7 linked regions of the Ovis aries genome follow. The protein of the gene in region 7 interacts with the protein of the main gene of each other region in a pairwise test. Links are inferred from orthologs where the notes say so. Each region holds a gene or a part of one and is shown on either strand. Other genes may lie near its edges.

Region 1 (3,500 bases), on a different chromosome or scaffold from region 7:
GCTGAGGGAGGGGTGGCACGGTGGGTCCTCACCCGACTGATGGTGTGCGAAGTGGTGCTTGACGTGGTGGGCCTTCAGGTGGTACAGGTAGGAGCCCTCGTGGGGAGAGCCGAAGTGAAGGTAGTAGTGGATCAGGTCGTAGATGACATAGCCCAGGAGGCTCCCCGCAAACACGGTGCCTGCCACGGCCGCGGACAGGACGAGCCGTAGCAGCAGGTAGAAGGCGGCTATCATCAGGGAGGCCGGCACGGGCGGGAAGACCAGGCGGGAGGTGTCGAAGGGCGCCTGCGGACAGAGGCTCACGCGTCAGGACACCGCCCGGGGCCCCAGGGCCTGCCTGCGGTCACACACCGCACGCTGGCCGGAGACGCTCCTTCGGGAGAGCGGCTGGAGCGGCCCAGACGGGCCAGGGAGGGCGCAGGCCCTGTGGGCGGCTTGGGGAGGGCAGGCCACCAAGCCTGAAGCCCTGGAGAGCCTGCCCGGCCCCAGTAAGCCAGGACAGGAGCTGGGAAGCTCCAGGAACGTGGGGGTGGGGTGGCGTGGGCAAGATGCTCACAGGTAGGAGCAGCTTGCCTGAGAAGCTCCGTTCTGCACTCAAGAGGCCACTCTGGCCCTGGAACTTGCTAGGTGTGGAGAGGAGCCCGGAGCCCCCACCCCCACCCCGAGGACCACGCAGGGCATCGAGCCCGAGGCCTGAGGGCGACGAAGGCACACATGCTGGGCGACCCTGGAGCTGTTGACAGGCAGGTCTCCCCCCCAGGTGGCCTTCTTTGCTCCAAGGGGGTGCTGTCACATTGAACCAGACCACGAAAGAGCCTAGCCTCTGGTCCTGAGGCTTCACAAGCCAAGGGCCTGGCAGAGGTGAAACTTTAGAGACTGCGAGCATTGCGACGAGACCCTCTCTGGACTGAAAGAGGAGAGAGAGCGATCAGGTGACCGAGACAGAACACCACACTGGCGTGGGCCCCCCTCCCCGCGGACCGGAGCAACAGCAGGACCTGCGGGGCTCCGTGCCAGAACCCCAGCTCCTGGTCAAAGGGGAAGGAGGGCGAGGGGAGGGTGGGAACCCTGCGGCAGGACGGGAACAGCGTGGGGCAGGGACATCCTCTGGGAGGACCAGGCTTCCAGTCCTCACTGCTGGGACCCTGTGTGTTGCCCTGAAGGAGCCCCAGGGTGGGTGGATGACCGACAGCATAGACTCTGGCGACCACAGGGGACGACATCCTAGGGTGACCTTGGCTGAATGGCTTAGTTCCTTTATTTCCCCAAGCCTCAGTCTGCCACTCTGTGGAATGGGGAGAACGGCAGCACCCGCTTCAGAGGGAAGGTCCACAAGGTCAGTGATTCTTGCCTGTTTTGATCGATGGTGTCCAGAACAGCACATGGCACATAGTGAGCGGTCAGTGAGCGTTTGTTGAACAAGCAAATGAATGAGCTGTTGTGAGGATTAGCGTTGGGCAGGCATGCTCACTCTGTCCATGGCCGGTTCAGGCTTGGACCCAATCACATGCCCTTGACTTCTCCTCGCCCTCAACCCAACCCCCACCGAGACGGGCGCTCCTGAGGGCAGGCATCAGCAGCATGGCCTGGGGGGGGGGGGGGCACTGCGCTGCTCACCTTGTGGTGCTGGCCGTGCATGGCGAAGTGTAGCATGATGAGGTAAGCGCTGTCGCTGGGCGGCTTCATGTGGAACAGGAAGCGATGGATGAGGTACTCCACGAGGCTCCAGAGGAACAGCCCCAGCACGAAGAGGCCCGGGAACGCCGACTCAGGCATGGCCACTGAGTACTCTGCATCAGGCATGAGAGAGGGAGGTCAGGGGCTGGAGGCCCCAGCGGCCCAGCCCCATCACATTGGGGGCTGCTGCCCTCGGCTCTGCAGCTGCGGGGCCCAGCCCCACCACTGGGACCCGAGAGTCAAAACAGGAAGGACACTGTGAGGATGTGTGTGGGCTTATTTAGGAAGAGTCCCGTCAGAGGACGACTAACGTGGTGGATCACACTGATTTCAGGTATTGAGCCACCCTTGCGTTCCAGGAGTCAATCCCATTTCGTCATGGTGCATAACGCTTTAATATGTTCTAGGATTCAGTCTGCTAGTATTCTGTTGATGACTGCTGCCTCTGGATCCCCGAGTGACAGCTGCTCTGGAGTTTTCTTTCTTGTGGTATTTTTGTCTGACTTTGGTATCACGGTAAGATTTGACTAGAGATCTGAGATCTTCCTTAAAGGGACCGTGAGAGGAACAGCCGCGGCCAGTGCTGGACCTCTGCCCGGTGCTATGGTCTGCATGTGTCCTCTCAGATCCACATGCTGAAACCTAACCTCCAGGGTGATGAGAGGTGCTCAGGTCATCAGGCGAACAGGACTAATTCCCTCATGAAAGAGGCGCGACAGGATCCTCCCCTTTTTGACATACGAGTACTCAAGGAGTCTTTGACCTAGAAGAGGGCTCTCCCCTGACTATGCTGGCACCCTGATCTCAGACTTCCAGCCTCTAGAATCATAAGCAATCAATTTGTCGTTTACAAGCCACCTAGTCTATGCTGTTTTGTTACAGCAGCCCACATGGACTGACACCAGGAAAGAGTGACCTTGCCTCAGTGGCATGGAGGAGAGGGAGAGGTGATCCTGATGAAGCCAGCAGACCTGGGGGCTGTTGATGGAAGATGTTAACAACCATCTCCCCAGGGAAGATGGGGCCAGGGGGACAAGAGGGTCAGGAAAACCCAAGGAGAGAAAGGTTCACTGAGAACATCTAAAAACCACAGCATGCGAGGGAGATGCGAAAAAACGGACGATTAGCCTGGAGACCAAAAGACTGGAGTGATGCCATTATCATCACGTGAGGCCCCTGCGCCCCGCTCCTGGAGGACGGCCTGCAGTCCTCACGGCCTTGGTTCCTTTTCTCCACCTCACTGATTCTCTAACTTCACAGGGACTTCAGCTCTCACCGTGTCTTCAGGTCTACCGTCACCCGCTAAGTTTTACTTCTTTTCTCCACTAGCCACTGCTTTGGTTATACTTTCTCTTGAAAAAAGTGGCAGCTTTATTGAAATACCACTCACGTATCTTACAATTCACCCATTTAAAGTGTATAGTTCAGTGATATTTGGTATATCTACAGTTGCACAACCATCACCACAATTTTAGAGCCTTTTCATCACCCAGAAAGAAACCCTTTACCCATTAGCAGTCATTCCAACCTTTGTCATTTCCCAGAGCCAGGAAACCTCTAATTTACTTTCTGTCTGTCATGTTTTCTGATTCTGGACCCATCATACCAATGGAATCATACAATATGTGGTCTGTTGTGACTGGCTTCTTTTGTTTGCAATATTTTTAAGGTTCACCCATTTTGTAGCATGTGTTAGAACTTCATAATTGTTTACCCACTCACCAGCTGATGGACAGCTGAGATGTTTCTATTCTTTTGGCTATTCTGAATAATGCTGCTATGAACAGTCCTGTTTTTAGTTGTCTTGGGTATATTCCTGGGAG
Region 2 (4,214 bases), on a different chromosome or scaffold from region 7:
AGTCCCAGCTCTTTGGTTGAGAATTACCAATTTCTGTACCTTCCACTAAGCTTCACTTGTTTGTGCTTTGAAAAGAACAGACTTTCCCCACCCTGTTTTCCAAATATGAAACATAATAACATTAAATGTTCTTTTTAAAAGTACACATGCCCCTCCCTTCAAACCAAGGCTTGCTGAGCCCAGCAGGTCTGAACCAGAGTGAACTTAAAGCCTTACCACTGATTTACATGGGTCACTGCAAAGCCACGCTGAAGAACTTGCCCCCAACCTCCAAGGCTAGAGAAAAGACCAAGTTGAACCACCTATGGGTTTATCCCCAACTTACACAAGAATTGCACACGCAAGACTGAGTGCAGGAATTGGTGTTAATATAGCAAAGCACCTCTGGCCTTGTTTAGAAGCTAGACTTAGGTCCTGACTCTTGTAGGTCTTCTGCACAAGTTTTCCTATCCCATGGCTTTCTGCTCAACAGTGCATACACACTTGAGTTCCTACTCTCTCACAGCTAATCCACACCCCGTGTGCAGAGACTCAGAGTTAAGAGGGCTGGATTACAACAGCTCTAGCAAGTGATCACCCACTTGTTTAGCACCAGTTAGGAGGAGGCAATGGCAACCCACTCCAGTACTCTTGCCTGGAAAATCCCACGGACAGAGGGAGCCTGGTAGGCTGCAGTCCATGGGGTCGCTAGGAGTCAGACATGACTGAGCGACTTCACTTTCACTTTTCACTTTCATGCATTGGAGGAAATGGCAACCCACTCCAGTGTTCTTGCCTGGAGAATCCCAGGGACGGGGGAGCCTGGTGGGCTGCCATCTATGGGGTCGCCGAGTCAGACAAGACTGAAGCGACTTAGCAGCAGCAGTAGCAGCAGGAACAGAAGAGGGGGGAAGAAGCGGGGGGAGGGGACTTCTCTGGGGATCCAGTGGTTGAGAGGGGAGCATAGGTTCGATCCCTGGTTGGGGAACTAAGATCACGCATGCCTAAGCTGTGCAGCCATAAAAAGAAAAAAAGGCCTCAGTCAGCTCTGAATAAGGAAGTGCATTTCTACATGTCCCTTCTCTCCCTCAATAATCTTGTTTACTCAAACTCCCCCAGTTCCCACAGCCTCAAGTAGCCATGTTTCAAGGACTTGGCTTGGGGGGCCTGTGATAAGCACTACCAGCAGAATGGGAGGCGGGGCCACTCTCAGGCCACTCTTACCTCCACTTTTGTGGCTCTATTTCTAGGAAGGGAGGAGCTGCACAGTTAGTAATGAGGCTGGCTGGTCAAGGAATGACCAGGTGCCAGGCACAGTGTCCCAAGGATAAATCTGGCTCTACCGACATCAATATTTTAATCACTGAGCCTACTAGAACATGGATCATCAAGTATGACAGATCTCGAAAGAGCAAACAATTTGCTCCCCTGCCATCATGCCCACAGATGAATTTCTGCAAGGTCATACATTCAATAAATACGGGCACAGGAAGGCTCACGACCTTGCTTTCTTTTCCACTCCCAGAGGCCACCAACAGAAGGCCAAGTGGGATCTGACTACCCAAGAACGGCTAAGTTTCCACCGATCACATCTTTACCCTACATCAGGTCTCACCTGTGGCTGGGGGAACTCACAAAAAGGCAAGTTTTGTAAGACCCCAGATTTTTTTGTTTGGGCAGCCACAACTGGTCACATTGCACGTTTCAAGGTTACACAGGAGCCCCACATTATACGCGTGGGGCAGGAGCAGACGAGTCTTGCTCGGAGCTTTACAAGAAAGCCAGAACAAATGTTCCAGAAGTTGACATCTGGAAGCAGGCACCCCAGGGCCTCCAGAAAACCCCTCACTCTCGGGCTTTCAGGACTCTTCATTAGGGGCCTGTTTTCTCGAGCATCGAAAAGCCTCCTTTTCTGGAGCGGGGTGGGGGTAGGGACGTGCAGGTCAATGCCTAAGCTGGACAGGTGGGCAACAGAAGGAGGAGAGCAGTTCCTTTGGGCCCCAGCAGAGGTAGACAAATGGAGGCAAGGGGTTCAAGATGACACGCAAGGCCATTTTCTTGGGGGTGGGGTGGGGTGGGGCGGCGGGGTGTTGGCTGGGGGCTGCTCCCCTGCCCTCCAGTCTCCGATTAAATACGAGAGCTCACGATGAGGAAGACGGTGAGCAGAACGAGGACGAAAGCCAAGTCTCGGGTCTCGTCCCAGCGTAAGCCCCTCTTGGCCCGGTCCTCCTGCATCTTGCGGAAGGCCTCCCGGCGCGCCCTCAGGCGCCGTTCGCGTTCCAGCTGCTCACCGTAGTGCGCCTGGTAGAAGGCGTCAAAGTCGAACATGGTGCGCTTGGCTCCCGGCGAGGCCGGACCGCGGCCGTGGGCCCGAGGGCCGGGCGGAGGGGTACGGGGCTTCTCGGAGTCGGCGGCGGGAGTCTTGGAAGGCCTGATGCCCGGACCGCGCAGGTCCTCGTCGCTCAGTAGGCCGCGGTCATACTTGCGACGCAAGGTGGTACTGCCCAGCACCACGTAAGCCTGGGAGATGCGCGTGAAGCGCTCGGCAGCCTCAGCGCTCCCCGAGTTGCGGTCCGGGTGGTAGAGGAAGCTCTGCCGGTAGTAAGCCGCCTTGATTTGCGCCTGCGTGGCCGTGGAGGGGACGCCGAGCAGATCATAGAGCGCCGTGCGCGAGTACGGGCCGTCGCTCCGGGTATAAGTCCTCGCTTCTGGGCCCAGGCCCGATCTCGGGTTTGGGGGAACCCCCCGGGGCTGCCACAATCTCCACAGTAACAGTCGCGACCACCTCAGATCGCGCCGGGCTGCCATCTTGAGGGAATCTGGCGGGCAGTGCAAGATGAACTGGCCAATGGGAGACGTGCGTTTTTCGCAGCCGGTCGGCCCTGTAGCCAATCGAGTAAAAGAGAAGGCGGGACGAGGGGGTGGAGCATGCGTGTTACGGGGCGGGCGCCCGGCCGATGACATAAAAGCCGGGCTCTGGAGCCGCTTGCACGAGTTCTGCTGTTGAGGCGTGGTGATGGCTTCTCGCGGGCGGAGACCTGAGCTCCAAGGGCCCCCGGAGCTGGTGAGGGCTGTGACCGCCCCCGCCCCTCTTTTTTCTCCTAGGGCGTCCGCGTCTTGATATCTTACCCGACTCCCCCCAATTTTTTTCTCGTTCTTACAGTATTACGACAAGAATGAAGCCCGGAAATACGTGCGCAAGTAAGGGAAGCCTGGATGTTGCCGGGGGTCGGGGGTCGGGAACCGGCAAGTTGCCCTGAATGCAGAGGTGCTTGGAAAGCACGCAGAATTTGGGGGTGGCGGAAGGAAGAGACTTGAATTGATCCATTGTTGACACCGTCAAAGTCAGCTCTTGAGTAAAACTCCTAATTCTCTGGGTCTCGGTAATCTTAGTATCAGCATGGGAGTGATCATACCTGCTTTGTTTAAGGTGACAGCTTATTTTAAGCGTGTGAAGAATTAGGTAGGACGGAGTGGTTATGTGTAAACCATCAGTGCTGTTTGTAGGTGGGGGAGAGAAATAATATCCGTAGAATGTTTACTGTATGTCCCAGTTTACAGTGTCTCAGTAAATCTCGGGGCTGCTGTTGGTAGAGTATCTGAATTTAAGAGAGGGTGGTTTTATGTGTAATTAATGAAGCCAGTTAATAGGTGAGGGCCAGGGCAAGTACTTCCAAACGTAGTCTTTTCCGATACAATACTCTAAAAAAGTTCTGCAGATACTAATAATCTGTTTTGTCTTTTTTGTTCCAATTAGAGTACTAGGGTCAGCAAAAATTTATGGCCAGTCGTCATTATTTAGCAAAGAGAAAGTTTTTTCCAATTGCAGAGCCCTGTGTTCAGCATTTTGGAAACTTGTTATGTGTGACTTTCTCTGTATCTTGGGAAAGCCAGATACAGTCTAGACTTTAATATGGTAACCAGTAGCCATCAGCCATCTCTTGAAACATATTTAATCTAAAGAAAATGAAATATTTATTAATTGTTTTTTTATGTTACATATTAAAATGATGTTTTGAGCATACTGGATTAAATAAAGTATAATATTGAGTATATTGGGTTAGGTTAAGGATTACTGCAGTTAACTTTATGTATTTAGTTTCTTTTTAAATGGAGCCTCAAGAATGTCCTGAGTGGCTTGTTATGTTTCTCATGGAGAGCACTGTTATAATTTTTATTGTGCATTGTTGACCCTTCTACATGGGAGTAGCTACAGTGGATAATTCTTCTAGAAA
Region 3 (3,491 bases), on a different chromosome or scaffold from region 7:
GTGGGGGTCAGGGGTGCCACTGAACACTCTATGATGCCCAGGACAGCCTCTCCCTGCACGCACACAAACAAAAGTGATCTGACCCAAAGGCCAACCGTGCCCAGATCACAAGCCCCGTACACTGCAGGCCACACTCACTCTCTGCCATGGTGTCTTCACAACCCTTTGAAAATGTAAGTTATTTTTAGCTGAGGGGCAGTACAAACACAGGCCCCGTGTCATAGCCTGCTGACTCCTGCTCTGCAGTTCAGTGAGGCCTACAAGGCCTCTGATGGCACACGCCTGTTAGCCCCCAAAGTGGGCCCACCCCCAGGGTGTCTTCACCCTGGCTCCCAGGCAGGGAGCAGGGATGCTCCGAGGGAACTACGCTGCCATCCAACCAGAAGGCTCGAGCCAACTTCCAGCCCTCTCTCACCACCTCAGCTCTGTGACCACACACACACCACACAGCAGGGAGTGGCTCAGCATTGACCCTCAAAAGGTCAGGCAACCACTGTGTGTTTCAGCAAAACACTCTCTTACTTTATTTTCATCTCAGCAAATGTTCTCATTTGGCACCTAACTGGCATCAAACCAAAGCCCTCAGGGTGACAAGCGTGGGCTGAGACCAACTGCAAACTTCCCATGTGTAGGTCTCAATGCCCATTCGCATCAGAACACCTGTTCCTCTCTGGTCCCTCAGAGTGGCCTAAACGTCTCAGATGCACTAACACTGCCGGCCACAAGGTGGTGGAAAAGCTGGGATAGGAAGCCAAGCAGTGCCTTGAAAGCAAGTTCTTTTCTCAGGCGACAGATCTCCGGATAGGGTCCGGGTCACGCTTATTTAACATCCTCCTGTCTGCCTGGGTTGGAATGAAGAAAAAGCTATCCTCCGCAGTGCCACTGGGGAGAAGACACAAGCCGGTTTACACTTTTTAGAGCTCAAGCATCTAAGAAAGTCTTGTCCGGGGAGATGGGGACAGCAAGCGCTCAGGTCAGCACTGCTCGCCAGGGCATATCCCGAGTCCAGCTTTGCAGCCTTTGCACACGGCGTACTTTGCCAGGATCCATGAAAATACTCAAGAGCCCATGAGGATATTTTACTTATATGCAGTTTCTGTCAGGAGTTCAGGATTGTCTGGCCTTCTCAGGATCCTTCTTGGGATCTCAGTTCAAGATTAGCTATTCAAAGTATGAAGTAAGAGAAAATACACTTTAAGAATCAAGGCTTCTCTTTTTAACCCAACTGAGGGAACAATTTCAGACACGACCGATCGAAAACCAGGCACGCAGCAGGGCACAAGCTGGCCCTCAGACTCAAGATTTCTCTGGTGCGGCAGACACGGGGCCTCCGTGTGGGCCCCAGCACTCCAGCCTATCTTCTGCGAGGCTAGTTGACTCGGCAGGCGCGGATCATGAGCAGCTGCAGGAGAATGAAGGCCGGAGACGTGATCAGGCCGAACCAAAGCTCTCTCGTTTGCTCCACCAACTTCTGGCACAACAACATCTCGAAAACGAACTTCAGGCTGAGAACTGTGAGGACCCAGAAAAGGCGGAGCACGGCCAGCCGCTTCTCTCCATCCTGGAAGAGTCGCACGGAGACGATGGTGGTGAAGTAGGTGCTGAGCCCATCAGCAGCGAAGAAGGGCACAAAGACGTTCCACCAGGAGAGGCCAGGAGCCAGGCCGTCCACACGCAGGGCTAGCAGCACAGAGAACACCAACAGGGCCAGCAAGTGCACGAAGATCTCGAAGGTGGCGAAGCCCAGCCACTGCACCAGCTCCCGGAGCGAGAAGAGCATCGCGCCGGTTGGGCGCGGGCCGGGGCCCGGCCGAGCGTCCCAGCTGCCGAGCTACGCGGCCGCGCCCTCCTAGCCTCGCTGGCGCCTGCCGCTGCCGCCGCCGCGGCCAACGAGAGGCAGCAAGCGGCCCCACCTGCCCCGGCCCTCGGCCCCGTCGCGCGGCCGACCCCCCGGCCCCGACCCGGGACCCCTCACAGACCACCCGCCGACGCCCGCCACGCTCGGACGCCATGCCCCGCCGGGCGCGGCCCTAGGGCGTCACTTCCGGCCGACGCCAGAAGCCGGAAGTTGGAGCCGGTCGCGGGGGCCCGGGCTGGCGGCGAGTGCTGCGGGTCACGTCCGGGTTGCGGGGTTCCCCGGGGTCAGCCCATGCCGAGCGCACGACTCCTGGTGCTCTTCGGCAGCCAAACGGGCACAGCCCAGGATGTGTCGGAGAGGCTGGGCCGCGAGGCCAGGCGTCGGCAGCTCAGCTGCCGGGTGGAAGCCCTGGACTCCTACCCCGTGGTGAGGGCTCCTCGGACCTCGGCGGGGGTACCCGGCGGGCTTGGGGCCCCGGCCCCCGAAGCGCTCGGCCCCAGGGGGCTGCGTTTCGTCTGAGAGCGGGCCCTTCCATTACGGCAGATTTAGGGGCCGGGAACGCTTGGGAGCAGCGGCCAGTTTAACGCATGGAGACAGGGGAGCGGTAGCCGAGGAGCCTGAAAGAGAAGGCAGGCAGGCCGGCCGCTCGCGAGCGCTGAGTCCCTTTGCCCCATTCCTCTGAGAGGAGGAGGGGAGCCAGGCTGCTGGGAGGATGCCTGGCCATTACAGCCCGAGGCCTTACATGTGTGTCTTTTTGTTGAGGTGAATCTGATTAATGAGCCCGTGGTGATATTTGTTTGTGCAACTGCAGGCCAAGGAGACCCCCCGGACAACATGAAGGTAAGGCTGACCTGAGGTGCGCTCAGGAGCTCAGCTCCCTGCCCTTGCCCCGCACCCTGGTTTCGTTGCCTGGAAAGACTTGAGCAGCACAGTGGATAATTTTCTCCTGTGGATTTGGGAGGAGATCTCTGGGTGGAGCGGGGAGCTCTGGGTGTCCTTCCTAATAAACTCTGAACCCCTTTAACTTTTCATATTTTTTCCAGGGCTGTATATAAATCTGGTATGGGTCTTGTGTGTATTTCAAAGCTCAGCTTCAGGGAACATTCTTCCATTCTTTGACCATCTTTTGAGCACACATTGTATTCCAAGCATAATCTCATGCTGTGAATCCAGCTATGAACCCAGTAGTCACATTTCTGCCCTCGTGAAACTCAAAACAGCAAAAGCAAATGTTTAACGGGCAGTTACAATGTCAAAAAAATGCACGCTGCAAGAGAAAGTGCTTGATGTTAATGGGAGCATTAATAAGGGCTGCCCCCTCAATCTGGAGGTTCAGAGAGAGCTTTCTAGAAGAAAAGAGGCTAGGCTAAGTCTTGAAGGATAAGTGGGGGCTAGCCAGGCACCAGGCAAGAGGGAGCAGCCTCTGCAGAGGAGAAAAAGAGCCCAGCCACGGAAGAGTGGAAAGCGGTTCAGGACGGTCGAACCAAGGAATGAATCAGGCTTGGAGGGAAACAAAGCGGGCAGCCAGGCTGGATCCCAAAGAGGTCAACAGCCACGGGGAGGCAGAAGGATTTGAAACGAAGGGCCGTGGAACCCATGGGGTGATGCAGTCACGTGTGTATTCCAGCAAAAC
Region 4 (3,953 bases), on a different chromosome or scaffold from region 7:
GGAAGGAGTTGGTAGTTCAGGAGGTTTGGAGAGCAATGAACAGTTTCTTCTTTCCTTCTGGAAAAAAGAAGCTGGACAGCCCTGACTTGGGTGAATAAGGGATTGTCCAGCAGATCCAAGGGCTAGACTTGGGCCTGGCAGAGGCTGACATCTTGGTAACTAGCCATGAGAGAGAACCAGACGCAAGCAAGAGGACACTTTCTTGAGGGACTCCGCTCCTACCTTCAAATCACTCGAAATGTCTCCACAGACCCCATCTGGAGGTTCTCAGGGACCGACCCTGCCCCCCAAACAAAGACTGAGAAGAGCAAGCCTTTGTCAGTACAGCAAGCAGCAGCGTTAGTGACAAACTCCACGTAGGCTCCGAGGTTAGGTAACGTACTTAAAGTCATGTAGCAAGTAGGCAGAGGAGCCAGGGCTATAACCCAAAGCAGTTTAGCTTCAAAGTTCTTGCTTTTTCCTAACAGGCAAAACTGGGGATCTGATAAGTAACAGGCATGGCGTGTTGGTCAGCAAGAAAGCAGTCTAGGGTTTCCCTGATGGTCCAGTGGTTAAGAATCCGCCTTGAAATGCAGGGGACACCGGTTTGATCCCTGCTCCAGGAAGATTCCACATGCTATGGAGCAACTAAGCCTGTGCACCTACTGAGCCTGTGTTCTAGACTCTGTGAACCGCAACTACTGAGCCCATGTGTTGCAACTACTGAAGCCCGTGAGCCTACAGCCCATGCTCTGGCCAATAAAAGAAGCCACCACAATGGGAAGCCTGGCATGCTGCAACTAGAGAGTAGCCGCCACTTGTGGCAACTAGAGAAAGCCAGTGTGCAGCAACGAAGACCCAGTACAGCCAAAAAATAAATAAACAAATCCTAGAAAGAAAGAAAGCAGGTTGTATGTGACCAGATCAGAAACAGCAAAGTACAGAAGTCCAGGAGCTTTTCACACCATGGCACCTAGAACAGTGAGTAGTAATCATGCTGACTTATCTTCTCCCTCACTGGACTACAACTTCCCGGAAGACTGAGTTTGCTGGCTTTTGTAACAACAGCATCCACCTTGGCTTGGCATGGTGTAAGCGCTCAGGAATATCTGTTGAATGCTTGAGACTCTTGAGGATTTCTTAAGGGCAAGGTAGGAACAAAATCAGGTTAAACCACCACAGTCAGTAGGTAACGCCTTAAGCACAAGGCAGTGGCAGGCATGGAAGGGAATTAGGCCAAATGCTAAGGCAATCTTTCTCTCCATGGATCTCCTCCTGACAGTCAGAATTTCTCTGAGGCCTGGTGCCCCTAATCCTCGATTGTAAGCCTGAGGCAGGCATGAGGTCTGCTTTATTTACGCATAAAGTCAAAGGTCAGGAAGGATGCCATGCGGTCAAAGGTGGCCTGACCTAGCATCGTGAAACATGTTCGCTTTGGAAAGTAAATAAGGAAAGCCCTCACAGTCTAAGGAGCATCCTGAAGACCAGAGGTGAGGCTTGGAGGCTACAAGCTAGCCATGGCAGAGCTTGCCTAGGGAGGCACCGAGGGGGGGGGGGGTAGTAAGTGACCAAGCTAGAGGAGAATTGTTTTCTTCATCAGAATCCCATCTGCTGACGCGCCTTGAGCCACTGGGTTTCCCCAGGAAATTAGGCCTGGTGACCCGAAAGCACGGCATATGCTTTCCATCTTCAGAAACCAGCATGTTCAAAACACTGTGATCTTGGAACTCCAGCCCAAGAAGAGTCTGCCGTCTCCCTCCAACTTCCCTCCTCCTCCTTTTGTTTTTTTAAACAAGCAGTTCTCTCAGACAAGAAACCTCTTCCGGCTTCTAGTCCCTTTTCCATGCCCAGGCCTACACTCCACCTGGTGTTCAAAGCTGTGTCCTGACCCCAGCCCTAGTATGTGGCCTAGCTGGGTGGCAGGGCAGACTCATCGGTGCCCAGGCCTCCCTCTGCTGGGTGCTGAAGGTAAAAGCCACCACTGACCACATCAGTGGGAGCCCAGTTCTGCTTCATCAACACAGTTTCACAACTGCAGACTTACACGGAGGTACCATTAACTTACTTCACTGTTGCAGAGCACATCCTCCACCTGCCAGCCCCCATCCTACCCTCTGCATTGAGGATAGAAGAAAACAGACCCAGTAGGTAGGAAGGAGCCAAGCAGTGTTAGCAGTTGGGGAGAAGAGCAGACACTGCAGAGCTTAGTGGCCTGGGGTGGACAACACGGGGTGGGAGGTCCCCAAGTTTATCAGTGAAAGGGGTCTAGCTCAGAGCCAGTGTCCTGGGGACTGAGCGCAGGCCTTGCCCTTGCCCCTCCCCCTCAGGACAGGCTGCTAGAGGCCCCACTTCTGGTCATCAGTGTGCCCACCAATGGAAGAGCCTAAAGCCCCGGACCAGAGCCCAGAGTCAGTGCAGGGTCCCTGACAGCCACCAGCTGCAGCCACCAGTCTGCGTGGGCAGGCCAGCATTTCCTGTTGCCTGAGTGCCAGGTGCGGGGGTACCTTCTCCTTGGCGTGCGCCACCCGGAGGTGGGGCAGCCGAGGACCTCCCAGCCTGAGCGCGATCGACCCCCAGAGAGGCTCTGAAGGATCCCCAAGACCCCCTCCCAGGGGACTGACCCGTCCCTCTCCTCCAGGGCCGCGTACCTGAGAGGACGGACGCCCCACAACCTCGCTTCCTGCCAAGACCGGGAGAGGCCGACCCGGGCCCCCAGCACCCTCGGGCTCCGGGCGCACAGCCTTGCGACGCGCAGCATCCCGACGTAGACAGCCATGGCTCGCGACGCCCGCGTCCCGGCCAGAGAAAACTTTTAAAGTGCGCCGAGGCGGGGCGAGCGCGGAGCGGGCGGGGAGGCGGGAGGGTCGCCTCTGCCTATGGGTTTCAGAGGACTCGGTGCCGGGCGGGCGGGGCGGAGCGAGGCGAGGCCGAGAGAGGCATGGAGGAAGAGCCTGCTCGCGGGCCACCTTCCCCTGGACCCGCAGCCCTCCCCCTCCTGCCCCCACTCTCGAAGAATTGCCCTGGTTTCCCTCCGGATCGGGCGTCCACGGCCGCTGCCCAAGGCAGGTCTCCCTTCCCAACCACCCGGGGCCTGGGTTTGGAGGCGCAAGACTTTGTTGATTTCGTAGAGGGGCAGCCAGCTGCGCGGCGAGGTCAGACCCGGCCACCGCCCCCCGCCCTGACCCGGCCACCACCCCCCTCGCCCGTCCGCGAGCCGTGTTGGCGCGGGGGGGTCACGTGTTGGCCTACCCCCCCTGCCCGCCCCGGGTTGCAGGCCTGAAGCCAGGGGAGCCCGCGTTCCCAGCGATGCCAGCTGGAGGAGAGGGCCCGCGGCGGAGGGGAGGTAGCTGGGACAAAGGGTGCAGAGCCCCCGGCAGGCCCAAATACTGGCTGAGGATAGATGTCAGCTTCAGAAGGGGCTCGGGTTGGTACCCCCACATCCCAAGCGTCAGTCTCCCATCTCTGCTCCTGGTGGCCTCGGGCATTGGAACCTGTGCCCCATGCTGTTCCAAAGTGTGAATGTAAAGTAAACCTCTCTCTCCAGGCCCTCCCTGAGGCCTTGGAGACCCAGATGCAGGTGCAGAATGCCCAGAAGATGAGTGGCCATTTCTGGACCTGGTGAGGCAAAGAGGCACTGGGCACCAAGGTGGCACATGTGCCAGGTCAGCACGTGTGCCAGATCCGCAGTGTCTCGGTGTAGCCATGACCCTTCCTCTGGAGGAGCGGGAGAACACTGGGGGAAAGGCCCTGGCAGGGTGACCTTCCTGCTCCTGACCCAGAGGTGGGGATATACACTGGGCCAGGAAGAACTGGTGGCTGAGGGTGGGACTTGGCCTAAGACCTTTATTTTTAGTTGGGAACTTGGGCTCAATTGGGGTTGTGAGAAGGAGACTACACTGCTCCTCTTCATGATCCTGAGAGTGACTTCAGAACCCCCTGAAACCCTGGCTCCTGGAGAGGGTCCCCACGTTTCA
Region 5 (3,935 bases), on a different chromosome or scaffold from region 7:
ACGGCGGGTGTTTTAAGTCTGCCTTACTCAATTAGCCATGCAGGTGTTGACAGTTAAACCTGCGTCGACCCGGCGCTGTTCCTTTCCCGTGAGGTGTCTGGGATCCGCAAACGCCAGCGTTAAGACCGGAACTGAGGAGATGCATGAAAACTGAGGAGAACGCTTTTTTCATGAAACACGTTCACATTTTCAATGAACGCATACTCCATTCTTCCCATGGTCCTCCACCCATGGCTGATGCTTCGTCATCACCTACATCCTCCAACCTAGACTCACGAAAGCCAATGCAGCAATTTTAAAACAAAAACAAAAAAACACACACGAGGAAGATATCAGCCAACCAAGAGCCCAGCAAGGCACCCGCCACCAGCCTCGTGCCTTTTAAGGGCTCAGCGGGCGCGAGTTCAAGGACCGCTCAGCGGCCCACCAATCACCGCACCTCCCACGCTTCGCCCCGCCCCCTCCCCGCGATCTAACCAATCCCTGGGGAGATAGCTTCTTTCCGCCCCTCCCACCCGCCTCCAGCCCCTCAGAAGCTCTAAGCCTCCAAACTTCACCGGCGCCCAGCCGCGCGTTTGTAGTCGGCGTTTATTTTTAGCTGCCGGGCCAAGCAGCCCCCGCCTCCGGGCCCGCCTCTTCACCGCCCGCCCCCCCAATGGGAGAAGGAGTTTCCGTCGCGTCAGCGCGCGGGCGGATGGGAACTGTCCAATCAGCGCTCGGGGAGAGCTGGCGTCATTAAAAAGCGGCGGAAGACAGTGGGCGGGTCATGACGCAGCGAGTTTTAGTCGTGACTTTTCCAGGGGCATCTCGGCGTCCCCTCTTTTTCCCTTTAAAGTAAAACACTTCCCGACGCACACCCCGTGCGTTTGGGGGAAGGGGCCGCGGCCGCGGGAGGGCGGTGCTGACGCGAGCCGCCTGCGGCGTCGCGCGGTCACGTGGGCGTGTTTGGGGGCGGGGCCGCGCGGCGGTTCCGGGCGGTTGGGCGCGCGAGCGAGGAGCTGAGGCAGCCGCGCCCGCCCGCCCCGCCCCGCCCCTGGATGCCGCTGTGCCCCGGCGCGGCCGCCGCCGATCGCAGCGCAGGAGCCGCCGCCGCCGCGGTTGATGTGGTTGACCCGGGGCTGAGGAGGCCGCCAAGATGCCGCAGTCCAAGTCCCGGAAGATCGCGATCCTGGGCTACCGGTCTGTGGGTGAGTGGCGGGCGCCGCGGCCTCCTCGCTCCCCGGGCCCCGAGCCTCGCCCGGGGCCCGGCCAAGTTTGGGGCCGGCGCGGCCATGTGGCGGCCGCGCGTTTCGTAACCGGCCGCCCGCCGTCGCCGCCACCTCCATCTTGGAGCGGAGGCCGGCGGCGCGGCGGGGCCCGCGGGGCAGCGCGGGGGACGCGTGTGGGAGGCCGCGGGCGAACGGGCGCTCGGGTCGGGCCGGGCCGGGTTGGCCGCCACGCCGCCCGCCGCAGGGCCCTCCACAGCCCCGGAGTAGCACCTGTCCCCCCTCCCCGCGGGGAGCAGTCCGTGATTGTTGCTGGTGGCCTTTTCCACCCCAAATTAAAACCCGTGGGGCTTCAACAAAGGACGTGGCTCCTTAGCCGTAATTTTTCTGTCTTGTGAAGTTTGAACATTTTAAAGCAAACCCGGGAGCTCAGAGGACGTTGGCTGCTGAGGGCCAATTTCCTAGGAAGAAACTCGAAAGACCACCACCCCCCCGAAACCTCCCGCTTCGGAAGCCTCCCAAGATGCTGCCAGCGACCGAAGTAGGAGGGCAGAAAAAGGGAAATTTCTGGCCACTTGGTGTCCTGTCTTTTCCTTTGGGGAGGAAAAAATAAGGTCAGATACTTGTAACCAGAATGTCGAAGTAATTCAAAAGTACCCCTCCCCGCACCCCGCCAAAGGTTGACATATATTTGAAACTGAGAGTGGCAGTCGCTTTTTCCACCCCTAACAGAGGTGGTCTGGGGTGAGAGGTGGTGGACGGGATGCCAGAAAACGAGGGAGGAAACAGAACCGTTGAACTTAACCATGCTTCAGGGTGAGGTTTTTATTGTCTTTGACAACCGGAAGTCTGGAAAAATTACTTCTTCTGTGTTGTTTTTAAGAAGTAGCTGTCCAAGGAAAAGGGCGCACTTGACCACAGTGGGGTGGGGGTGGCGAGGGCAGGGGTTCGGAGTCTGTGGTGACTGCAGAAGGAGGTGACACGAACTGCCCTGGGAAAGCTGGTAACTGCCTGCTCATTGGCCGAACTCCCCGACTTCGCTTTCCTTTCTGCTTCTTCACCCCCATTTTCCACGGTCGGTGCCAGGGTCTGTGCTCTTTGACCAAGATGAGCTGCGGCGTGCTTACTCATCCTTTTATTACCTCTCTTTGTCAAAGTGCTGGGGGGTGGGGTATCAAAATGAGAGGGTGAGAGACTCTTGTGTACAGATAAGGGGCGCCAGGAGCCCTGGGGGTAACTCCTGTGAGATGCGATGATCGTGGAGGGAGGGGGAGGAGAGGTGACAGTCTTAACAACTGCAGCCGTCAAGTCTCCGGGCGTCAGATGGAGGCTTTTCAAGTCTCTAACAGCCCCGAATGCACATATGGAACCACTGCATCCCCCCTTTATTGACAGTCTGTGTCTCAGAGCCTTTGCTTCTCTGTTCTCTCTCTTTTCCTCCTCTGCATTGTGAAGAGTGGGACTCGGACATATCCTGTCTCTTGAATGAGTTCTATCTCCTCAGAGTGCCCATAGTTAAAGGTACCAGTGTCTGAATAATCAAGTTACAGGTGACATGAATTACCTGGGCTGCCTGCTTTCAACTGAAGAGAATGTCCCAAACATTCTGGCTTATTTACCCCTGGAGATTCTTGAGGTGGTGATTCCAGTCGCCAGTAATCTAGTCTACCATTTCATCACTGTTTGTTAAAGAAGTTCTTTAGGTCCAGTTGAAACCAATTTTGTCTTTCCTGCCTTCTAATCCCATCCTCTTGAAGACCCAGAGGTGACACGTCCCCCGTTTGCCTTCACTTCACGTTTATTTTAAGCCACTGCTCACCGAGATGCTCCTGTGCTGGATCAGCCTCCAGGGGCACCCAGAGCAGGTCCAGTCCCTGTTTCCTGTGCCTTCCTGTTGCTAAAGCCTGCTCCATTGTCTCCGTGTTTATTTTCATATGTGGTGATGATTAAAATGTGTTTTGCACAGGTTCAATGACTACCAGTCTTTGCATTTGATTTTACAGTTGTTTACCTTTGTTAGGAACCAGGACTTTTTGTAGTTTGTGGGCTTTTTTGTTTTGCCAGCATCAGAAACGGAGATAGTTCCCTGATTCCACATCCTAGTCACTCTTCAGAGAATAACTCAGACTTCCGAGTTCACTGACCTGTCTGCTTGCCAATGATGCTAGGGTAGAGAAATCTGAGTACCTGTATTCCTAGGTTGTGTTACTGTGATGCTAAACTGTAGAGTCATATTGACTGGTGGGAAAAGAAGGTGGGAAAAGCCTAAGCCTGAAACCGCATCTTTCTTAGAATATTCTCTTGACTAAATATCGTATGCCAGTTTAATTTGTAAAATACTTGTCATTCTGAGTTTATTTTAAAAGTTTGGGCTTCCCTGGTGGCTCAGAGGTTAAAGTGTCTGCCTGCAATGCGGGAGACCCAGGTTCAATCCCTGGGTCAGGAAGATCCCCTGGAGAAGGAAATGGCAACCCACTCCAGGATTCTGCCTGAAGAATCCCATGGACAGAGAGGCCTGATGGGCTACAGTCCATGGGGTCGCAAAGAGCCGGACATGACTCTTGTTTGCCTTCAGATGAAACTACGAAGTGCAATGACTGTTTTACTATTTGGTGTTCAAATTTTGTAGTTATTTTAAAAACACTGGAAAAACTTAACAGTGAGAAAAACAGAATTCTCAGATAATTTATACAACTTTTTTTTTGTCCTGAAGCACCTTTCCTGTTATTT
Region 6 (3,963 bases), on a different chromosome or scaffold from region 7:
GAAGGGTATGTGTGTGTAAGGAGTGTGTGTGTACAGGGTGTATGTATATGGGGTGTGTGTGTGTACCCATGGTGGGTGAACTGTGTGTGTGTTACCCATGGTGGGTGGGTAAGCGGTGTGTGTAAGGGGTGTGTGTGTGTAAGGTGTGTATGTGTGTTTAAGGGGTGTGTGTGTACAGGGTGTGTGTGTGTGTTACCCATGATGTGTGGGTAAACTTGTATGTATGTGGTACCCATGGTTGCTGGTAAAAGGTGTGTGTGTGTGTGTGGCTGAAGGGTACGTGTGTGTAAGAAGTGTGTGTGTACAGGGTGTATGTATATGGGGGTGTGTGTGTTACCCATGGTGGGTGTGTAAACTTTGTGTGTGTGTGTTACCCATGGTGGGTGGGTAAACTGTGTGTGTGTTTGTGTTACCCATGGTGGGTGGGTAAACTGTGTGTGTGTGTGTGTTACCCATGGTGGGTGGGTGAACTGTGTGTGTGTGTGTTATTCATGGTGGGTGGGTAAACTGTAAGTGTGTATGTGTGTGTGTTATCCACGGTGGGTGGGTACACTGTGTGTGTGTACCTGTGTGTAGGGATAACGGTTCTGGTTTCTCCTTGAGTCTTCGCTTTGTTGAGCACTTAAAGCACTTTATATACTTTATATCACGGTGTTATCCTTTCAAAGAAGTCAACTGAGGCTCAGAAGTTACACGACTGGCCCAAGTTAGACAACCAGTTAAGTAGCCATGATGGCCCCCCTGGGGTTTTAGTAACGTGCCACTCAACTGCACAGGAAAATAATGACAATTTGAGTAGTAAACAACGACTGTTGAGAGCCTGAGTTCAAGGAATTCCAAACCTGTTCGACTCCCTGCAACTTCACCCCATCTTCCGCCCACTCCAGCCCTGTTAGCTTCAGGTCCCGGGGGTCAGCCCTTCCATTGGCTATTGGCTACAGGGCCTCATGCTCATACGAGGGGAAGTAGCCAATCAATGTGGCTCGTCCCCGCCCAGCCAGCCCGCGCTAGATCGCGTAATCGTTGCCCCTCCTGTGGCATTTCGGGAATTGTAGTCCAGTGAAGCATTGCTGCCTGCAGTGAAAGGAGATCGAGAACTACTAGATCCAGCGACCCGAGCGCCGCGCGGTCCAGCTTTTAGGAGTACCCCTCCAACAATCAGGATCTGCAACCAGCATCCAGGAACAGGTGAGAGAGGTCGAGGGCTGGGACCGGAGGCAGGGGCTAGAAACTCGGTCTTAACTCTGTAGCGCAACTTCAAGGCACAGGAGGTCCAGTCTGTTGCGTCGGTGTTCCCCCGTTTTGGGAGTTGGTGGGACGGACTAGCTGACACCGTGGATGTGCAGAAACTCCCGAACTCTGCCATGTGCTTTCCTGGAATCCCAGTATAACTGCACCCTGCTTTGCTCTTCCGCTGCGAACCCTACTCACCCACCCACCCAGTGTTGCTCCGAGGCTGTCAGCACAGTCCTGGCTCTGTGAGGTCCAGTCCCAGAGCCCCAGACTACATGTCCATAGTACCCAGGGGTTCTGCGTTCACGCCTCAAAGCCTGCGCTCCCCTCTCCCTGCCTACCAAGGGAGACTTGGGTTCTAGATTTGGCGCTGCCATTCCCCGGGTACCTCCTACCTCCTAGAGCCTCAGTTTGGCCTCTATAAAAGAGGGTGATTTAAAGATCCTCCCAGCCCCCGGTCCTGAGGTCCTTTACTCTGGATTCTTCAGTCTGTGCTCCAGAATTTGGAGGAAGCAAGCAAGAGTATAGCAATTCCAGAGGCTCCTTTGTGGAGGCGTTGACGGTTTCTCAGCCGGGTAAAGTTACATGGCTTTGAGTCCTAGCCTTCTTATTTTAAGTATGATCAGCTGAGTCTTGGTTACCCAGCCGTACTTTTTGTTCCCTGAGTTTCTTTAAGTGCCCTCCAGCTTAGCCCAGAAGAGAGTGGGGCATTCTGGGTACAGAGGTGGAAGGTTGGAGGGTGACTTGGGGAGCTGACAGCGTGCATCTGCCTCTGGTGCTTGCCCCTGCAGGGAGTGCTCAATGCCCCCTCTCTGTGCCACCCCCCATGCTGCCCCTGTCCCGCTGGCTGAGATCTGTGGGGGTCTTATTGCTGCCAGCCCCGTGCTGGGTGCCCCGGGACAGGTTGCTGGGTCCCCTACGGCGACCCACCCTGGGGCACGGGTGCCCAGTCCTGGGGGCCTGGCACAGTGCCCGCTGCTGGCGGCAAGCGTGGACAGAGGAGCCTCGGTGAGTCTGGCAGGGGTGAGGGGCCTTGGGGAGGGGAGCAGCTGATTAGGTTTCTGACTTGTCCTCCCTCTTGTCAGAGCATTTTACTCCTCCCTCAGAATGAATGGAGACCAGAAATCGGACGCGTTCGCCCAAGAAAGGCAGGATTTCATCCAGCACTTCTCCCAGATTGTCAAGGTGCTGACTGAGGAGGACATTGGGCACCCAGAGACAGGAGATGCCATTACCCGACTCAAGGAGGTGAGGGATTTACAACTCGAGAGGGTGAACCTTTGCAATCTCTGCACATGCGTGGGGTCTCTCTATGGCTCTGGGGTGACTTTTGATAGGTGTGGGAACAGACTTTTATCTGAGAGACTCTGGGTTCATTCTGGAGGGGTCGGAGCCTGGGCAGGTCCAATCAGTCCAGCTTTGTGGTTCTGGTAGGCCAGACATACTGCTTTGCATAGGGGTGGATCGCCCTGGGGGTGAAGGCTTTGATCTGGGTAAGTGTTTGATTTTGTTAAGACAGGGAATTAGGTGTCCAGAAATCATAAGGGGCTATCTTGGCAGGGACCTGGGAGGAAGGGAGGAAGCAGTCTGAAGTGGGGCTGAGTAAAGGTAGTGTTCCATCAGAAACCCCTCCTCTAGGGCAGGAACTATTTGTTGAGATACCTACGTTGCCTGATTCTTTTGGAATATCTAGTGATTCTTTTTGTAATGCCGTCTCATTTGTCTGAGGGAAACTAAGGAAAAGGAAGTCTGTACTTGGATGGAGATTAAAAAGGGAAGTCTTCCCAGTGAATTGCATCTGGTTGATAACAGGGCAGCAGAAGGCAAAATGAGAAGCCCCAGCAGGAGGCAATGCCACTGAAGGAGTAGCGGATGGTCCCCCAGCCTGAGTCCCCTCCAAGCTGTCCTCTGGCTAACCTGGGGAGGAGGGCGCTTGTCTGAGTTAAGTGAGAGGCTTTTTATTGCAGATAGGCTGAACCGTGGAGGGGGGTCGCAGAGGAGGTGGCTGAGAAGGGAGGAATGGGGGTGGGAGAGACCTGAGCTAGCCGCTCTCTTGGCATGCACAAGAGTTTTCCCCGGGTTCAAGCCCTGTCTGGGTTTGGGAGCAGATCTTAATCTCCAGTATGGAGCCTTTCAGTGTTCTGAAGAAGACAACGCAGAGAGAGCCTGGGGACTGGGGAACTTCCTGCTCTGCCCCACGACTTGGAAGAAGCCAGGAGCATAGTAGTTCAGGGGCTGCCTGGAGGAGGGGTTGGGATTGAGGAGGATAAAGTTAGGTTCCCTGGTCTCCGGTGGGAGAAAACAAGGAGAAATCTCAGAATAGCTGCTCCGCAGACCCTGATGCCTTCCTTGTCCCTCTGCTATTCCCCCAGGTCCTGGAGTACAATGCCATCGGAGGCAAGTACAATCGGGGTTTGACGGTGGTGGTAACGTTCCGGAAGCTTGTGGAGCCCGGGAAACAAGATCCTGACAGTCTCCAGCGGGCCCTGACTGTGGGCTGGTGTGTGGAACTGGTGAGAAGGGTGGGGAGCAGCAGGCAAAGACGAGGTTTACTAGAGTGGGGGTGCCCTGGGTGGGATGGGGTGGGACGGGAGGGAAGGGATGGGCCTGAAACTCGGCTTCTCGGTTGTGTTTCTGTGCATCTAGTGTGCTGTGGCCAGACTTAGTGACGAGGGGTTAACAGATGTGGGGAGGCCCTTGTACCAGAAGGTGCGTGTTTCACCTGTACTC
Region 7 (4,194 bases):
GTCTCTTAAATTTCACCTGCCTGAGGTCAACTACCCTGACCTCAACTACAGCACAGAAAACTGCCTGAAATTTCTAACATTAATGCTGACCATAATTTGTCTCCTGATTCCCAGTACTGGATTTGACAGGCATCCCTGTCCTACCACATACCTGAATCCAATCCCTGATCCCTAATTTTGATCTAATTTTTACCTGTAGCATCAACTCTGGACCTTTAACCCTGAATCTTCATCCCTAAACCTAAAGTTCATTTGTCACTTGATTCCTGATTCACCCCTTTCTTGTTTATCCCCTGTACTGGCTATGCTAACCTTCTCTAATCCCTAAATCTGGACTTCTAACTTAGTTTCTGTTGTTGACCCTTAACCTGAACTCTAATGTTGGTCGTTATAGAAAACAAAATAATGCCCTTAATCCAAACCTCACCTACACAAAACGCACCTCACACTAATAAATCTAAATTTTAACCCCAGCTGCACACTCCTAAAGCTAACCTTAACTCCTAAAACCCAACTCCACCTAATCTCCAACTCACCCATTCCTGCTCACGTACCCGCTATCAGCTAACCTCAAAGCCGATCCCCGCCCTGCGTCACACTGCCACCCACTCCTCACCCTCCCTCTAAACTATCCTAGGCCGAGGACTGCTCCAGGAAGGGCCTGGCTGCCGAAAAACTGCCTATTTAACTCAGAGCACAAGCAGAGATACACCGGACGCGAACCTCTCCAAGATGACCCGAAACAGACGCAGAAGTCAGGGGCCCTGCCCGCCCGCCTCCCAGGCCTGGTGTCGCGGCCCCACCCTGAGGCCCCAGTTCGCCCGGTCCGGCCTACCTGCGCTGCCCGGCTCTGTGCCCCGCCCGCCGGCCCGCTAACCCGCTCGTTCTCCCGGTGGCTCTCGGGCTGCGGCCTCGCCCTCCCTTCGACACTCTCGGCCACTTCCGTCCCGGGAACGTCCCCCACCCGCGGGCGGCGCCCTGGGCCCGCGCTCTATGGTCGCGGGCACTGCAGGAAGCTGCTCTGGCCCCAGCTCTCGATGCTCGGGAGCCCGCTGACGACCGGCAGCCCCTCCCCAGCCGGAAGCGAGGGTGCGGTGCAGTCCCGAGGAAGCGCCAGAACTGCGCCCTAGTTCCCTTTTAGGCTGTAATCCTTCCTTTTTCTAGCCCGGGGCGGAGCCGCTTCCTCAGAATGCCCGCCCTCAGGGACTGCGGAGGCGGAAGGCACGTCCCCTCTATTTGCATCGCGCCCTGGACGTGGCGCGTACAGCGGCAGCCTCCGCGTCGGGGTGGGGTGGGGGACTCCAACTCCCGGCATGCCTCGCGGGTAGGTGCGTCACTTGTGTTCTGTTGGAAGTCTAGCGGGGAGTGGAGTCTGGAAGGCGTGTCCCGGTTTCAGAGCCTTCGCCAGCAGCTAGGAGGAAAACGCCGCTGAAGAGCCGATAGGTGGGGCCGACTGACAGTCCGTCGCGGTTACGCCTGGTTGGGGATAGGGTCCGGGTGGCGAGGTGAACTCCTGTGTTTCTGCGCATCTTTTCCATAAATGTCTCATATGGAGCTGGCGTTGGACCCGGGTGACCGTGACCTGCTAGGCTTTCTGCTAGAGGAAAGCGGTGGTTTGGGTGCGGCGCCCGACGAGGCCTTGGCGTCTCCGCCGGATTGGGAGCTGCCACTTTCTGAGGCGAGTGGGGGGCTCTGAGTCGGGGAGGCGTGAGGCGGGTTTGTGGGCGGGGTAGGGGTGTCCCTGAGGCAGGGGGTGGTGATGGTCAAAGCCTGTCAATTTGAACCCTGTGCAGTCTCTGAGCGATTGGGACGTGGAGGATTTCCTGAGCTGCCTGCCGAGTCCCCCATCATCGTTGAACGTTTTCAGCAGCTCTAACTCCTGTCTTGTCCAGCATGACCACACCTATTCTCTCTCACAAGAGCATGTCTCCATAGATCTAGGTAAGCCTGAAATAAGTGAAGTTTGGGAAAGGAGAGGACTCCGAGGCCTGACTACTCATATTTTCCCTTTTGCAGATAATGAGAGCTATGGAAAAGAGGGGACTCAGATGACTCCACTGTGTGTGGAGGAGCCGGCAGATCAGGTACTTGACTTATAGGAGGGTTATTTCCGTATTGCGCGGGTCGGGGCAGTATTCCGCGTTACTTTCTGAAATCCCTTTGCAACTCTGCTGCCCATCTCTCCGGAACCGCAGGAGATTGCTAGGCTGATACTGACTGAGGAGGAGAAAAGGCTGTTGGAGAAGGAGGGGCTTACTTTGCCTGGGATGCTTCCACTCACTAAGGTAAGTCTCCCATCGCGGGGACGGGGGTTGTGAGTTCCAAGTAGGCCAGTTCTGTTAATTTTGTATCAGTAACTTGAAAAAGAATTGAGGTGAGAGATTAGCACATTTTTGAGTAGGAAGCTGGGGCATGTGGTTAGTATACTGCTTGCAAGGACAGATCCTGGTTTGTAGTGCTTTTATAAATTTTGGTGTTCTTTTTAACTAAGAATTCAAAATTATCAGGGTAATATTAGTAAAGGGATTTGGAAAGTACTGTACAAGCGCGGGGCTCTGATACTTATATTTCACTGGTTTCATGCAATTTACTTGTAGCTGAATAGTAAATCAAGTATTAGAGTAGTATAACAAGTAGTATAACAATTAAGTAGTATAACAAGAGTAAATGTGAAATTTGGAGTTTCAAGCAATGAGAGGCAGTTTCACATGCACAGTATTGTGATACTATGATGAAATCAATGTCTGTTAACAGAAAGGTTAACAATTTTAATTTCTCAAAAATATAAGTTGAGGCAATCCCCTGGCAATCCAGTGGTTAGGACTCTGTGCTTTCACTGCTCAGGGTCAGGGTGCAATCCTGGTCTGCACCAGGGTGCAATCCCCTGGTCTGGGAACTGAGATTCCACAAGTGCGAGGTGTGGCCAAAAAAAAGTACAAGTTGAGTCAACAGTGTGATATGGCTACTAAGGAAGAGAATGGGGTTTAGAAGCTGTATCATCAGATTTAGTTGTTGTTGTTTGGTCGCTAAGTCGTGTCCAACTCTTTGTAATTCCATGGACTATGGCCCCCAAACTCCTCTGTCCATGGGATTTCCCAGACAAGAATACTGGAGTACGTTGCAATTTCCTTCTCCAGGGGATCATCCCAACCCAGGGATGGAACCTGTGTTTCCTGAGTCGCCTGCATTGTAGGCAGATTCTTTACTGCTGAGGCACTGGGGAAGCCCAGTTGTATCATCAGATACCAGTTATCTAATAGTGTTGCCACTAGAAGGGCAGTAACTATCTTGTTTTCTTTTACATTGGCCAAAAAGCTTCTTAAGTTTTGAGCCTATTATCTTTGACAGATATTAAGAAGATGCAGTCCATCCTGAGAAGAGATAAGATGATGAGTTAAAATTTTTGCCCAGTTTTTTTTTTTTTTTTTAACTCTGAAGAAATGCCAAGTGCTTTAAAATAGCTGAAGACCTTTGTTCTATTATGGCCCCAGAGATTAGGTGCTAGGTAAGTCCAACAGGTAGAAATAACAAAGGCAGATGTTGGCTCATAAGGAAGGTTTTAAAAAAAAATTATCTAACAAAATTGTTACAATGGTTTGGCTTGTGAGGACAGAAGCATTCAGACAGAAGCAGAGTGCCTATTGGTCAGGGAAATTGTAGAAGGAATCTCTGCTTTGAGAAGATTGAACTCGGTTGCCTTCAAACTCTTTGGTCTAATGTTCCTCTGATGGGATCCCTTTTCCTGTCTTCTCCCAGATGGAGGAACAAGTCCTGAAACGAGTGCGGAGGAAGATTCGAAACAAAAAGTCTGCTCAAGAGAGCCGTAGGAAGAAGAAGGTGTATGTGGGGGGTTTAGAAAGCAGGTATGAAAGGGAGCTGGACTCGGGGGTGGGAGAAACAGGTAATTGGAAGTGTGAGGTTTTTGAAGGGAGGATACAGGCCATGTCCCCACATCCCTGTTATTCCTCCAGGGTCCTGAAATACACAGCCCAGAATCTGGAGCTACAGAACAAAGTACAGCTCCTGGAGGAACAGAATCTGTAAGCAGCTCTTTCACATCAGGGTTTGCTCATCCCTCCCGCTTACTACTGTCTCAGTCTTTCTCCTGCTCCATATTTGATTTGTCACCGGGCATCTCTCACATATGTCTGATGCTTGGTCTTTAGTGGGTCTCTGATTCCATGAAGCTCACAG

The links.
Region 1: the proteins of CREB3 (region 7) and FA2H interact in a two-hybrid assay, tested with the Homo sapiens proteins (2 studies listed by BioGRID and IntAct). The two-hybrid records come from large-scale screens. The link is inferred for Ovis aries from reciprocal best matches to the Homo sapiens genes CREB3 and FA2H.
Region 2: the proteins of CREB3 (region 7) and DNAJC30 interact in a two-hybrid assay, tested with the Homo sapiens proteins (2 studies listed by BioGRID and IntAct). The two-hybrid records come from large-scale screens. The link is inferred for Ovis aries from reciprocal best matches to the Homo sapiens genes CREB3 and DNAJC30.
Region 3: the proteins of CREB3 (region 7) and TMEM203 interact in a two-hybrid assay, tested with the Homo sapiens proteins (2 studies listed by BioGRID and IntAct). The two-hybrid records come from large-scale screens. The link is inferred for Ovis aries from reciprocal best matches to the Homo sapiens genes CREB3 and TMEM203.
Region 4: the proteins of CREB3 (region 7) and ACSF2 interact in a two-hybrid assay, tested with the Homo sapiens proteins (2 studies listed by BioGRID and IntAct). The two-hybrid records come from large-scale screens. The link is inferred for Ovis aries from reciprocal best matches to the Homo sapiens genes CREB3 and ACSF2.
Region 5: the proteins of CREB3 (region 7) and RHEB interact in a two-hybrid assay, tested with the Homo sapiens proteins (2 studies listed by BioGRID and IntAct). The two-hybrid records come from large-scale screens. The link is inferred for Ovis aries from reciprocal best matches to the Homo sapiens genes CREB3 and RHEB.
Region 6: the proteins of CREB3 (region 7) and FDPS interact in a two-hybrid assay, tested with the Homo sapiens proteins (2 studies listed by BioGRID and IntAct). The two-hybrid records come from large-scale screens. The link is inferred for Ovis aries from reciprocal best matches to the Homo sapiens genes CREB3 and FDPS.

What each region holds. Positions count from the first base shown.
Region 1 is NC_056067.1:1,638,734-1,642,233, forward strand, and holds part of FA2H (fatty acid 2-hydroxylase), read right to left. Parts: intron 1,791-3,500; coding exon 1,618-1,790; intron 286-1,617; coding exon 33-285; intron 1-32. UniProt on the Homo sapiens protein: Catalyzes the hydroxylation of free fatty acids at the C-2 position to produce 2-hydroxy fatty acids, which are building blocks of sphingolipids and glycosphingolipids common in neural tissue and epidermis.
Region 2 is NC_056077.1:34,036,460-34,040,673, reverse strand, and holds the start of DNAJC30 (dnaJ homolog subfamily C member 30, mitochondrial), read right to left. Parts: upstream 2,801-4,214; 5' UTR 2,788-2,800; coding exon 2,107-2,787; 3' UTR 1-2,106. Other genes in the region: BUD23 (probable 18S rRNA (guanine-N(7))-methyltransferase), read left to right, coding at 2,996-3,043, 3,143-3,180. UniProt on the Homo sapiens protein: Mitochondrial protein enriched in neurons that acts as a regulator of mitochondrial respiration. Associates with the ATP synthase complex and facilitates ATP synthesis.
Region 3 is NC_056056.1:733,601-737,091, reverse strand, and holds TMEM203 (transmembrane protein 203), read right to left. Parts: upstream 2,027-3,491; 5' UTR 1,781-2,026; coding exon 1,370-1,780; 3' UTR 501-1,369; downstream 1-500. Other genes in the region: NDOR1 (NADPH-dependent diflavin oxidoreductase 1), read left to right, coding at 2,150-2,284, 2,621-2,698. UniProt on the Homo sapiens protein: Involved in the regulation of cellular calcium homeotasis. Required for spermatogenesis. Acts as a regulator of STING-mediated inflammatory signaling in macrophages.
Region 4 is NC_056064.1:36,003,018-36,006,970, forward strand, and holds the start of ACSF2 (medium-chain acyl-CoA ligase ACSF2, mitochondrial), read right to left. Parts: upstream 2,801-3,953; 5' UTR 2,756-2,800; coding exon 2,628-2,755; intron 1-2,627. UniProt on the Homo sapiens protein: Acyl-CoA synthases catalyze the initial reaction in fatty acid metabolism, by forming a thioester with CoA. Has some preference toward medium-chain substrates. Plays a role in adipocyte differentiation.
Region 5 is NC_056057.1:115,675,351-115,679,285, reverse strand, and holds the start of RHEB (GTP-binding protein Rheb), read left to right. Parts: upstream 1-1,135; coding exon 1,136-1,187; intron 1,188-3,935. UniProt on the Homo sapiens protein: Small GTPase that acts as an allosteric activator of the canonical mTORC1 complex, an evolutionarily conserved central nutrient sensor that stimulates anabolic reactions and macromolecule biosynthesis to promote cellular biomass generation and growth.
Region 6 is NC_056054.1:105,483,811-105,487,773, forward strand, and holds the start of FDPS (farnesyl pyrophosphate synthase), read left to right. Parts: upstream 1-1,163; 5' UTR 1,164-2,059; coding exon 2,060-2,241; intron 2,242-2,318; coding exon 2,319-2,481; intron 2,482-3,605; coding exon 3,606-3,746; intron 3,747-3,963. UniProt on the Homo sapiens protein: Key enzyme in isoprenoid biosynthesis which catalyzes the formation of farnesyl diphosphate (FPP), a precursor for several classes of essential metabolites including sterols, dolichols, carotenoids, and ubiquinones.
Region 7 is NC_056055.1:52,808,428-52,812,621, reverse strand, and holds the start of CREB3 (cyclic AMP-responsive element-binding protein 3), read left to right. Parts: upstream 1-1,394; 5' UTR 1,395-1,540; coding exon 1,541-1,678; intron 1,679-1,793; coding exon 1,794-1,941; intron 1,942-2,016; coding exon 2,017-2,084; intron 2,085-2,195; coding exon 2,196-2,285; intron 2,286-3,756; coding exon 3,757-3,863; intron 3,864-3,971; coding exon 3,972-4,040; intron 4,041-4,194. UniProt on the Homo sapiens protein: Endoplasmic reticulum (ER)-bound sequence-specific transcription factor that directly binds DNA and activates transcription. Plays a role in the unfolded protein response (UPR), promoting cell survival versus ER stress-induced apoptotic cell death.